Drosophila melanogaster: one gene and its partner. The protein of the gene in region 1 purifies or fractionates together with the protein of each later gene. This does not show direct contact. Each region holds a gene or a part of one and is shown in the gene's direction. Other genes may lie near its edges. The genes, in order: PolE2 and PolE1.

What was found.
Region 2: the proteins of PolE2 (region 1) and PolE1 purify together in Drosophila melanogaster (affinity purification with western blotting, with the first as the bait; one study listed by BioGRID). This does not show direct contact.

The regions. Positions count from the first base shown.
Region 1 is NT_037436.4:5,895,181-5,899,505, reverse strand, and holds PolE2 (DNA polymerase epsilon subunit 2), read left to right. Parts: upstream 1-2,070; 5' UTR 2,071-2,126; coding exon 2,127-2,832; intron 2,833-2,889; coding exon 2,890-3,761; 3' UTR 3,762-3,815; downstream 3,816-4,325. Other genes in the region: CG5592 (uncharacterized protein), read right to left, coding at 111-897, 955-1,147, 1,216-1,858. UniProt on the Drosophila melanogaster protein: Accessory component of the DNA polymerase epsilon complex. Participates in DNA repair and in chromosomal DNA replication. Has a role in the entrance and progression through S phase. Has a role in endoreplication. Essential for viability and tissue development.
Region 2 is NT_033777.3:23,346,083-23,354,258, forward strand, and holds the start of PolE1 (DNA polymerase epsilon subunit 1), read left to right. Parts: upstream 1-2,045; 5' UTR 2,046-2,108; coding exon 2,109-2,179; intron 2,180-2,240; coding exon 2,241-2,367; intron 2,368-2,429; coding exon 2,430-8,176.

The DNA.
Region 1 (4,325 bases):
TAAATAAATGTACCAAACTCGCACCGAAGACTCAAACCTTGCAGGGAAACTTGGCTATATACTTATCAGTCTATCGGCGCCATTTCAAAATAAGTTTTTAAATTAATTTTTTAAAGATCCTCGTTTATTTTACGATCTCTACAACGTAACGTCCAGCGCTTTTCCGCCTCGTCCAACGTTTGTGGCATCGTAGCTCCCTTGGTCTCCGGCAGAAACAAGATTATTAAAGCGCCTATCACGGACACCAATGTGATAATAAACATGGGCAAGGGACGATAGTAGCGGTGGGTGCTGAGTACAAGTGGTGAGAGTAGGGCACCCATCTGACCCATAATATTGATAATAGCCAGTCCCTGACCGCGCAGCACGGTTGGCAGTATCTCAGAGGCCCACTGTTGACCCACATTGTAGGCCATTGTGGCGAAAAATCTGGCTGCAATCGCTGCCGTTGATGCATTCCAATGTCCTTTTAGAATACCAACGAAGAGACTGGATGCTGCACACAATAGCATGACAGCCGACATCATGGGCTTGCGACCAATTCGATCTAGCAAAAGCATTGGTACGATTCCAGCAGGAATTTCAACGAGCGAGGAAAGGGAAAAGGTTATAAATATATCTGTGTCCAGGATTTCGACTACGCGAACATGGGCATCGTATGCTAGGGCCACAGTCATCCATGTGACAATCAAAATCGTTAAGACGACGAGCCTGGGAAATGTCTTAAAGAGATCCAGACTGGTGTACTGCTTTCCCAATTGCTCGTTGGCAAATTTAAGTTCATAGCATTCCCGCATCTCGGACCAAACCTCTTCGGAAATGATTTTTCCATTGGCTTTGGCCGCTTCTTTCATGACTTCAATACACCGGTCCACTTTACCCACCGACATAAGCCAACTGCAGTGGGAAATGAAGTTTAGATAGCTTGAAAACCTATTGTTATCATTAATTTACCTTGGTGACTCTGGAGCCAGCAAGCTGGTCAATATCATGAATACAATTGGCAGGGCAACGACCATGGCATAGTGCCTCCAATTACTGATGACATAGGCCAGCCAGGGAAGCAAGCAGGCGCCCAAGGTGAAGAAGAATGTGAGGGCTAAGTTCCCCACCAGTGTGCGATACTTGATGCCAACGTTCTCCAAAGCTGTTGAAAAGAATGTGATGATGATATTTAAATTTATGATTTATGTTAATTGACTCTGCAACACTCACTTAGAATATAAATGGGAACGAAGCAGTAGTTCATTGACAGTCCAGCCACAAATCGGCTGGCAGCAAAGCAGGGAAAGTCCTTGCAGACCACACTTACGCAACCGCCGATCATGGAACAGGAGTTGGCCAGAAATAGTGCAGGCAAGCGACCGGAATGATCGGTTATGAATCCAAAGCAGAGGCAACCAACAATACAGCCCACAAAGTAGACAACGACGCTATATGTCCCGAAATCCCTTTTGTCGCACACCCAATTGTACTCGGTAGCGATGGACTCGTAGGGCACCTCCTTGCGATCATAGATCCAACCATTGTTGCAAGGTATCGGGCTCCTTGTCTGATTCGCATCGTTGGTCGCATTTGAGTCGTAGGGCACATTGTACATAAAACAATTCTCGAAACTGCCATCTTGCTTTTTGGGGATTCCCCGATTCTTTTGTTCACTTTCCGGCAGTCCCTCTAGTTCTCGTACTCTGCACCAGTGATTCTTTGGCAACAGTATCATAAATATCTGACCAAAGTAGGTGAATGCGAACAGAAAGGCGGCGGGCATCATCCAAAACAGCAGTCGCTTCTGAAAGGGGCCAAAGTCCCCAATGAACAGCAAGAAGTTCTCATACTTTTCACAATCTCTGGGGGGCATTTCGACATTTAATATTATAAATATGTACTAAACAAAAGCCAACTTCTTTAAAGCCCTCTTTTTGAACCTTAAATAGTTAAATATATGTTATTTTGAATAAACCATTCAAATATCAACTTTTTGAACTCCACTTTTTTCCGCCAATTTTCGATTACTTTCTAGGCCTTCTATTTTAGCTTCATGTTCGGCTGGTCACACAAATGCACATAGATATCGATAATTGACAACATCCATATCTAATTTGCGCGCGAAAAAACTTTTAATAACAATGGATGTGGATTTACTGCCGCTGAGAAAGCGAATAACAAACACCTTCAAGCTATGTGGATTCCTGATCCGCTCGGAGAACAGTTCCTACCTGGCGGAGCAGCTGCTACCCTTTGACGCAGCGGAACGGGACAAATGGCTGACGGTGATCACCGAGAATCTCCAAAGCCAAAAGCTTTTGACGCCTCATGTGGAGCGAGCCGCCCTGGAGAAGGCCATCAATGAACTTAACCGGGTGGGATTGGATGAAGGGGAGACGGTCTTTGCCCTGATCGATGCCTTTACGGTGCCCCGTTTTCGGTACAACCAGCGGATAAAGAAATTCGAACTGGACACTCAGCCGCGCCAGTTGCTGACCGCCCCGCGCATGAAATCGGACTACATGCAGCAACGATATGCCATGTTACTACAGAAAACTCTGCGACACGATCTCTTTGCCCCAGCCGTCATACAGGATGGCGTTGGGGCCGAGGCCCAGGCCAAGAAATTTAAGCTCCAGTTCGCGGAGAACCTGCTGGCCACGTCGGCGATGAAGGAGGCAGTTGTTTTGGGGCTACTTACCCAGCTTAAAGAGGGCAAGTTCTATGTCGAGGATCCCACGGGTTGCGTCCAGTTAGATCTCACTGGAGCCCGTTTCCATGCCGGCTTCTTCTGCGAGGGCTGCTTTGTTTTAGCCGAGGGCAACTATAACAACGGTGTGCTCAAGGGTAAGTAGCCCAAAGTATTTAATAACTACATCTCAAGAGTTTCTTATGTTTCCCCAGTTGATGGCCTGGGCTTTCCACCTGCGGAACCGGCAAACAGCAGTCGAGCATTTTTCGGCACCGCCAACACTTGGGGCGGTGAATCTGCTAAGCTGCTGAAGTACTCAGCCGGACTACAGGAACTGGAGCGTACCAACACGGAAACAACCATTGTTTTCCTTTCCGACGTTCGGTTGGATCTGCCGGTTGTCATGGAGAAGCTGCGCCAGTTGTTCGTGGGCTATGATTCCTGTCCGCCGCAGGCTATAGTGCTCATGGGTCCCTTCACGGCCAGCACAAGGAATCATCATGAACTGAGGCATCACCTGGATGCATTGGGTGGCTTGGCAGCTGGCTGCGAGCAGCTGAAGAAGCAAACGGATCTGATACTCGTTCCCTCGTCCGAAGATCCCACGGCACCTAATATTCTGCCCCGTGCTCCAATTCCCGAATGCCTGGCAGCCGGGCTGCTAAAGGCCTGGCCACGCACCCAGTTGGCTACGAATCCGTGTCGCCTGCAGTACTGCACCCAGCAGATTGTGGTCTGCCGTCTGGATTTGATGGCCAAGTTTTGTCGCAACACCTTGCATTTTCCTGAAGACACGTCCCAGATCGAGCAGCATTTTGCCAGAACGATTGTGTGCCAGGGTCATTTGGTGCCCATTCATCCGATTGCCATGCCAGTGCACTGGGACTACGATCCTGCTCTGTGGTTGTATCCACTGCCGGATCTGATTGTCATGGGCGATTCGTGTCAGAGCTTTAGCAGCAGTCAACATGGCTGCACTGTTCTCAATACCGGCTCCTTTGTCAAGTCCAAGTTCGCATTCAAAGTGTATATACCAGCGACGCGAACGATTGAGGACTCGGAGATACCGGACGAATTGGAGTAGTTATGATATAGTTAACCTTAACGTAAGTTTGAATAATTATTTAATTACATATGTCGATTACTCTTTGGATTTCGGGCTATTTGGGCAATTTTTTTTTTGTTTTAAACAACTGCAAGCCTATATTTAGAAAGAATACCATCAATTTAACAATTTGGATATAAACTTCTTTCGGGAGCTTAGCTCACTGCGACCTCACATGTTGCTTGGCCCGCCAGCTCGAAACATTTTTCGGCACCCAGTGCGTGTGGCTGTTCCCTCGTGATAAGCGGCCCAGTCTCATCATCACCGTCGTCAGTCATCATATGCGCACAGCATGTGTTCCACAATCGTCTCCTGGCTGTGCGGCTGACGCGCCTCGCAATCTGCTTTTTACGGCGACCGGGGGTTGTCTATTACTTTTCATGACTTAAAGCCGATTTGGAAAAATATTGTTACTCTGCCCGATGCCGGCCACTTAGGGTCGTGGAAATTCAATTTCCCAGGCTGGCGCGCAACTCCTCGGCAGCTGAAACGGCAATTTTGATAATGCGTTTGACCTGAGGACATCGATGGCCCCCATTTGCT
Region 2 (8,176 bases), on another chromosome or scaffold:
ATTTGATTCGTATAATTCATTCAAATCGAATTTACCGTAGCGCAAGTGCACGCTTCCCGAAAGAAAGACAAAAACAGACTGACCGACTGGCAACAGGCGGCAGCGACGCCGACGTTGGCGCAGACGCAGCGTTGACGCCAACGCCGACGCACCTTCTCTCTCCGTTTCTCTCTCTCTTTCTCTCCGCTGCTAAGATTAATATTTTTTTGTGTTGCTCTGGCAAGTGATAACAAAAATGGCAAATAATATGAAAATCGAGAGTTATATCAATCTGACTTATAAACATTATTCGCTATTTTACTTGATCGCTGGAATGAAAACGAAAAGGCGTGGGTGATCCTCAATCTCGCTATCTCTTTCGCACTCGCACTAGAGCGTGCATCATGAGCGCAAGAAAAAAATGGAAATCAGAATTACATATTTCGAGCAGCAAAAACAAAGTGTTTGCAGCGACAAAAAAATAGCAACAATTTATAAAAAAAATCTGCTTGCTCAGAACTCAGTGTAAGTGCGAATATGCGAGAGAGTGTGTGGGTGCGTGTATGTGTGTGTGTGTGTGTGTGCGGGCGATCGTTTTTGGCAAGCATTTAAACAGTGCCCAAAATCACTAGTATATTTAAAATATTTAGTATGCAAAGGGGGCGGAATAATAAAGACAAATATTTTAAAATTTGGCAGTCTCAGTCTTTCAATTGTGTACACTGATATAAAAATTTATTTATTTTGATTCTGGATTTTATACAAATCTATATTTTTGACAAATAAAGTAAATTGGTCAAAATATCAGTTCCAGCTTATTTAAAAGGAAAATTATACTAGTTTCTTTGTTATAATAATTAATAAAATATTTATTTAATATGAAATAATACCTATATGAAAATTTTGATGTGAGATTAAATTATCAACTTATTATTATCATTATTAAAGTTTGCACACAATGTGGGAAAGCTGCAGCTTGGGAAAATACTTTTGGACACCCCAAAAAAAGTTAAGCGCGATATTTTCCCACCGTGACCATGACAACCACTGTGCGTTCGAAAGGCTCTCTCTCTCTCTCTCTTTCGCGCAAATCAAAAACACAAACAGGTTTATGTGTGCGGAGAGTGTGTGCGACAGAGAGCGGCGATATGGAACTGAAACGACTGCAATGTTTTTATATTCCGGCAACGCATTTCGCATAAATTACAAATTACACAGCATAAGTGAATGCAAGTGCAGGGGCGGCAGTCAAATGGCCAGCTGCACCCAGAAAAAGGGCAATAAGATTCGGGATAACAAAACTTGATGGCGTTCCCGATTTTCCCGGCCAAGGGAGCGTATATGTACACATAAAAAAAAAAAACTTAACCAGCCTTGCATAACGAAACACGTGCAATAAAAATATGGCTGATTGTCAACCTCTGCTGCAACTTAATTGCTGCCGCAGAGGTAAAACTGAAAAACATAAAAGGGGGCGACAAGTGCAGCAAGCGAAAAAAAAGAACTCAAAGAGCGCATGCGCGCCGCTCTCCCACTCTCTCTCCCTCTCTCCACTGCGCTGGAATCTTACAACTCGTGTAGGTGAGCCGGATTTTTATGAATGAATGCGCCTGTGTGCGTGACTGCATGATGCCATTGCAGCGGAGAACTAGTAGAAAAAACTTCACATTTCAGCAGTTGGAAAACACATGGCCAACAGGCCAACTCAATTGGCCAGCAGCTGTCCTTAAATTGTCAGCAAATAGGGCATTTAATGCCCATTACAGGAAAATTATAGCTAAAATGGTCAAGCTGTGATGAAATAAACATAAATATTATATTTTATGATTTCATCAGATTTTAAGCATTATTTTTTTAATTTGTGTTAGGTGGAACTACAAAGCTAAGAATAATTGAGGATTTCTAGGTAAAACTTATATTCTTAAAACCATTTAATAATTTTCTTGTTTTCTTTTATTTGTAGTAACATTTTGAAATTGGCGCCAAACGTGTTACTTTACAGTGCTGTGCAACAGCTAAATGTCAGCATTCTCTGCAACGCGTTAGCACATTTCTGAGACGTTTGCAGATTTTTGGCGGCAACAAGTTATTTACATTTATTTATTTTATTTCTGCTAAACAGCACGGAAATGTCCGACTCCAGCAAAGGCAAAGTGCTGCAAAATACGGGTAAATTCGTCAGCGAGAATCGCACAGAAGGGTGAGTGGTCAAAGTTCGTGAATTTCACGCTGAACAAGATATTTTCCAATCTTATCCACAGCGACGACTTCTTCAATGAGGCGGGCTATCGTCAATCCCGGGAGAACGATAAAATCGACTCGAAATATGGCTTCGATCGGGTTAAGGACAGCCAGGAGCGGACGGGCTACCTCATCAACATGCATTCGGTAAGTTAGGAAGCCCATAAAACGTTGAAAATCATGTCCAATAATGGCTATGCCAATTGCAGAACGAAGTTTTGGATGAGGACAGAAGATTGATTGCTGCCTTGGACCTGTTCTTCATCCAAATGGATGGTTCCCGCTTCAAATGCACGGTGGCCTATCAGCCATATTTACTCATCCGACCAGAGGATAATATGCATCTGGAAGTGGCGCGATTTCTGGGTCGCAAGTATTCCGGCCAGATTTCTGGACTGGAGCACATAACCAAAGAAGATTTGGATCTGCCCAATCATCTATCCGGTTTGCAGCAGCAGTACATAAAACTTTCGTTTCTCAATCAGACAGCCATGACCAAGGTTAGAAGGGAACTCATGTCCGCGGTGAAGAGAAATCAGGAGCGACAGAAATCCAACACATACTACATGCAAATGCTGGCCACCTCGCTGGCCCAATCCTCCGCAGGTTCCGAGGATGCCACATTGGGTAAGAGGCAGCAGGATTACATGGATTGTATTGTGGACATAAGGGAGCATGATGTGCCTTACCACGTCAGAGTGTCCATCGATTTGCGCATCTTTTGTGGACAGTGGTACAATATCAGGTGCAGAAGTGGCGTGGAATTGCCTACGATCACCTGCCGACCGGATATTCTGGACAGACCCGAGCCCGTGGTCCTGGCCTTTGATATAGAAACCACTAAGCTGCCCCTTAAGTTTCCCGATGCCCAGACGGATCAGGTTATGATGATCTCGTACATGATCGATGGTCAGGGTTATCTGATAACCAATCGTGAGATTATATCATCCAATGTGGACGATTTTGAGTACACTCCCAAGCCGGAATTCGAGGGTAACTTTATAGTATTCAACGAAGAGAACGAGATGCAGCTGCTCCAGCGCTTCTTCGATCACATCATGGAGGTGCGTCCCCACATCATTGTTACATACAACGGCGACTTCTTCGATTGGCCCTTCGTGGAGACGCGTGCTGCAGTGTACGATCTGGACATGAAGCAAGAGATTGGCTTCTCCAAGCTACGGGATGGCAATTATCTAAGTCGCCCTGCCATACACATGGATTGCCTATGTTGGGTGAAACGAGATTCTTATTTACCTGTTGGATCTCAAGGCTTAAAGGCGGTGGCCAAGGCTAAATTACGCTATGATCCTGTGGAACTCGATCCGGAGGATATGTGCCGCATGGCCGTGGAACAGCCCCAAGTGCTGGCCAATTACTCTGTATCCGATGCGGTGGCCACATACTATCTGTACATGAAGTATGTGCATCCATTTATCTTCGCCCTAAATACGATTATTCCCATGGAACCCGATGAGATCCTAAGAAAGGGTTCCGGCACACTCTGTGAAACGTTGCTGATGGTGGAGGCTTACCATGCCCAGATTGTGTATCCCAACAAGCATCAGAGTGAGCTGAATAAGCTCTCCAACGAGGGACACGTACTGGATTCGGAAACCTATGTGGGTGGTCATGTGGAGGCTTTGGAATCGGGTGTTTTCCGGGCGGACATACCATGCCGTTTTCGTCTAGATCCTGCTATGGTCAAGCAACTGCAGGAGCAGGTTGATGCAGTTCTGCGCCACGCTATCGAAGTGGAGGAAGGCATACCGCTCGAGAAGGTCTTGAATCTGGATGAAGTGCGGCAGGAGATTGTGCAGGGGCTACAGGGTCTGCACGATATACCCAATCGCTTGGAGCAGCCGGTCATCTATCACTTGGATGTGGGTGCCATGTACCCCAACATTATTTTGACCAATCGCCTGCAGCCCTCGGCAATGGTTAGTGACTTAGATTGTGCCGCCTGTGACTTCAACAAGCCAGGAGTTCGGTGCAAACGTTCCATGGACTGGTTGTGGCGCGGCGAGATGTTGCCCGCCTCCAGGAACGAGTTTCAGCGCATTCAGCAGCAGCTGGAGACCGAGAAGTTTCCACCCCTTTTCCCTGGCGGACCACAGCGAGCCTTTCACGAGCTCTCCAAGGAGGATCAGGCGGCGTACGAGAAGAAACGTCTGACGGATTACTGCCGCAAGGCTTACAAGAAGACCAAGCTAACCAAATTGGAAACGCGCACTTCGACCATCTGCCAGAAGGAGAACAGCTTCTATGTGGACACGGTGCGAGCTTTTCGCGATCGTCGCTACGAGTACAAAGGACTAACCAAAGTGGCAAAAGCATCGGTGAATGCTGCGGTGGCTTCGGGAGACGCGGCAGAGATCAAGGCAGCCAAGGGCAGGGAGGTGCTCTACGATTCCCTGCAGTTGGCCCACAAGTGCATCCTGAACTCCTTCTATGGCTACGTGATGAGGAGAGGAGCCCGTTGGCATTCCATGCCTATGGCCGGCATTGTGTGCCTCACGGGCTCGAATATTATCACCAAGGCGAGGGAAATTATCGAGCGAGTTGGTCGACCACTCGAATTGGACACTGATGGTATATGGTGCATATTGCCTGGCTCCTTTCCGCAGGAGTTTACCATTCACACGAGCCATGAGAAGAAAAAGAAGATTAACATATCATATCCGAATGCAGTGCTAAACACTATGGTTAAAGATCATTTTACCAACGATCAGTACCACGAGTTGAGGAAGGATAAGGAAAACAATCTACCCAAATACGATATTCGAGATGAGAACTCTATATTCTTCGAGGTGGATGGACCCTACCTTGCCATGGTGTTACCCGCTGCCAAAGAGGAGGGCAAGAAGCTGAAGAAAAGATATGCGGTCTTTAATTTCGATGGCACACTGGCTGAACTCAAGGGATTCGAGGTGAAGCGACGCGGTGAACTGCAGCTGATCAAAAATTTCCAGAGTTCCGTCTTCGAAGCTTTCCTCGCTGGTAGCACACTTGAGGAATGCTATGCATCTGTGGCCAAGGTGGCGGATTACTGGCTTGATGTACTCTACAGCAGAGGATCAAATCTACCCGACTCGGAGCTATTCGAACTTATTTCGGAGAACAAGAGCATGTCCAAGAAGCTTGAGGAGTATGGCGCCCAAAAGAGTACGTCCATCTCCACGGCCAAGCGATTGGCTGAGTTCCTGGGCGAGCAGATGGTAAAGGATGCGGGTCTGGCTTGTAAGTACATTATTTCGAAGAAACCCGAAGGAGCACCCGTCACCGAGAGAGCTATTCCCTTGGCCATTTTCCAATCCGAACCGAGCGTGAGGCGACATCACCTGCGTCGCTGGCTTAAGGACAACACCATGGGCGATGCGGATATACGCGATGTGCTCGATTGGAACTACTACATAGAGAGATTGGGTGGGACCATTCAGAAGATCATAACCATACCGGCGGCACTGCAGGGACTGGCCAATCCAGTGCCCAGAGTTCAGCATCCGGATTGGTTGCACAAGAAAATGCTGGAGAAGAACGATGTGCTCAAGCAGCGTCGCATCAATGAGATGTTCACCAGCAGACCCAAACCGAAACCTCTAGCCACAGAGGAGGACAAGCTGGCCGATATGGAAGATTTGGCTGGTAAAGATGGCGGTGAGGGTGCTGCAGGCTGTCCGATAGTCACCAAGAGAAAGAGAATCCAGCTGGAGGAGCACGATGACGAGGAGGCACAGCCGCAGGCCACCACTTGGCGTCAGGCCTTGGGCGCTCCACCGCCCATCGGTGAAACCAGAAAGACCATCGTTGAGTGGGTGAGATTTCAGAAGAAGAAATGGAAATGGCAGCAGGATCAGCGCCAGCGTAATCGCCAGGCGAGCAAGCGAACTCGAGGCGAGGATCCGCCGGTGGTCAGAGCAACAGGATCCACAGCTACACTGGGCGGATTCCTTAGACGTGCACAACGCACCCTGTTGGACCAGCCGTGGCAGATCGTACAGTTGGTGCCCGTCGACGACCTGGGCCACTTCACTGTGTGGGCCTTAATCGGCGAAGAGTTGCACAAGATCAAGTTGACGGTACCGAGGATTTTCTATGTAAATCAGCGAAGTGCAGCTCCTCCAGAGGAGGGTCAACTTTGGCGCAAGGTCAATCGAGTTCTGCCACGATCCAGACCTGTTTTCAATCTCTATCGATATAGTGTGCCCGAACAGCTCTTCCGGGATAACTCGCTGGGCATGCTGGCGGATCTGGCGACGCCCGACATTGAGGGCATATACGAGACGCAGATGACGTTGGAATTTCGCGCCCTCATGGACATGGGCTGCATTTGCGGTGTCCAGCGCGAGGAGGCACGTCGCTTGGCCCAATTGGCCACCAAGGATCTGGAAACATTTAGCATCGAGCAGCTGGAGCAGCGGCCCCAGACTCAGGTCAAATATTTGGCTAGCGCCAACAATCGATTGCGCAAAATCTACTTGTATCAGCATAACACACCGACGGCCAAGAAGGAGATCTGGTCACTGATCCTAATGCCCAGCAAGAAGGCATTTGTTTTTGCCTTGGACACAGTGCGTGCCAATCAAATGCCGAACATGAGGCAATTGTATACCGCCGAGCGTTTGGCCCTGCTCAAGAATCTGACGGCAGAGGAGCAAGATAAAATTCCTGTAGAGGATTACACATTTGAGGTTCTCATTGAGGTGGATGTCAAACAAATTTACCGGCACATACAGCGGGCACTGACCACCTACAAACAGGAGCATCAGGGACCCACCATTCTGTGCCTTCAAACGGCGCTGTCGGCGCGTAAACTCAGCCTGGCCATGCCGATCCTGCTGGAGTTTCCCCAGGCTGAGATTCATATCTCCGATGACGCTAGTTTGCTTTCTGGCCTTGATTGGCAGCGACAGGGCTCCAGGGCAGTGATACGCCACTTTCTGAATCTGAACAATGTTCTTGATTTGATGTTGGATCAGTGTCGCTACTTCCATGTGCCCATTGGCAATATGCCGCCGGATACTGTGCTTTTCGGAGCGGATCTTTTCTTCGCTCGCTTGCTGCAGCGGCATAACTTTGTGCTGTGGTGGTCGGCGAGTACCAGACCAGATTTGGGTGGCCGGGAGGCGGACGACAGCCGGCTGTTGGCGGAATTCGAGGAGAGCATTAGTGTGGTGCAAAACAAGGCCGGTTTCTATCCGGATGTTTGCGTGGAGCTGGCTCTGGATAGCCTGGCGGTGAGTGCCCTGCTCCAATCGACTAGGATTCAGGAAATGGAAGGCGCCTCATCTGCCATTACGTTCGATGTGATGCCGCAGGTCTCGCTGGAGGAGATGATTGGCACTGTTCCGGCGGCCACCTTGCCGAGTTATGATGAAACGGCCCTCTGTTCCGCCGCCTTCCGCGTTATGCGCTCCATGGTGAATGGTTGGTTGCGAGAGGTATCCATCAATAGGAACATCTTCTCGGACTTCCAGATCGTGCACTTCTATCGATGGGTGCGCTCCAGTAATGCACTACTCTATGATCCTGCTTTGAGAAGATCTCTGAATAATCTGATGAGGAAGATGTTCTTGCGCATTATAGCCGAGTTCAAGAGATTGGGCGCCACCATTATCTATGCGGACTTTAACAGGATTATCCTTAGTTCGGGTAAGAAAACCGTTTCCGATGCCCTGGGCTATGTGGACTACATTGTGCAAAGCTTGAGGAACAAGGAGATGTTCCACTCCATCCAACTGAGCTTCGAGCAATGCTGGAACTTTATGCTCTGGATGGACCAGGCAAATTTCTCGGGAATTAGGGGAAAGCTACCAAAGGGAATCGATGAGACAGTGTCGTCAATAGTTTCCACTACCATGATACGGGATTCTGAACGCAATCAAGATGACGACGAGGATGAAGAAGAGGATTCGGAAAACCGTGATCCAGTGGAGAGCAACGAGGCCGAGCAGGA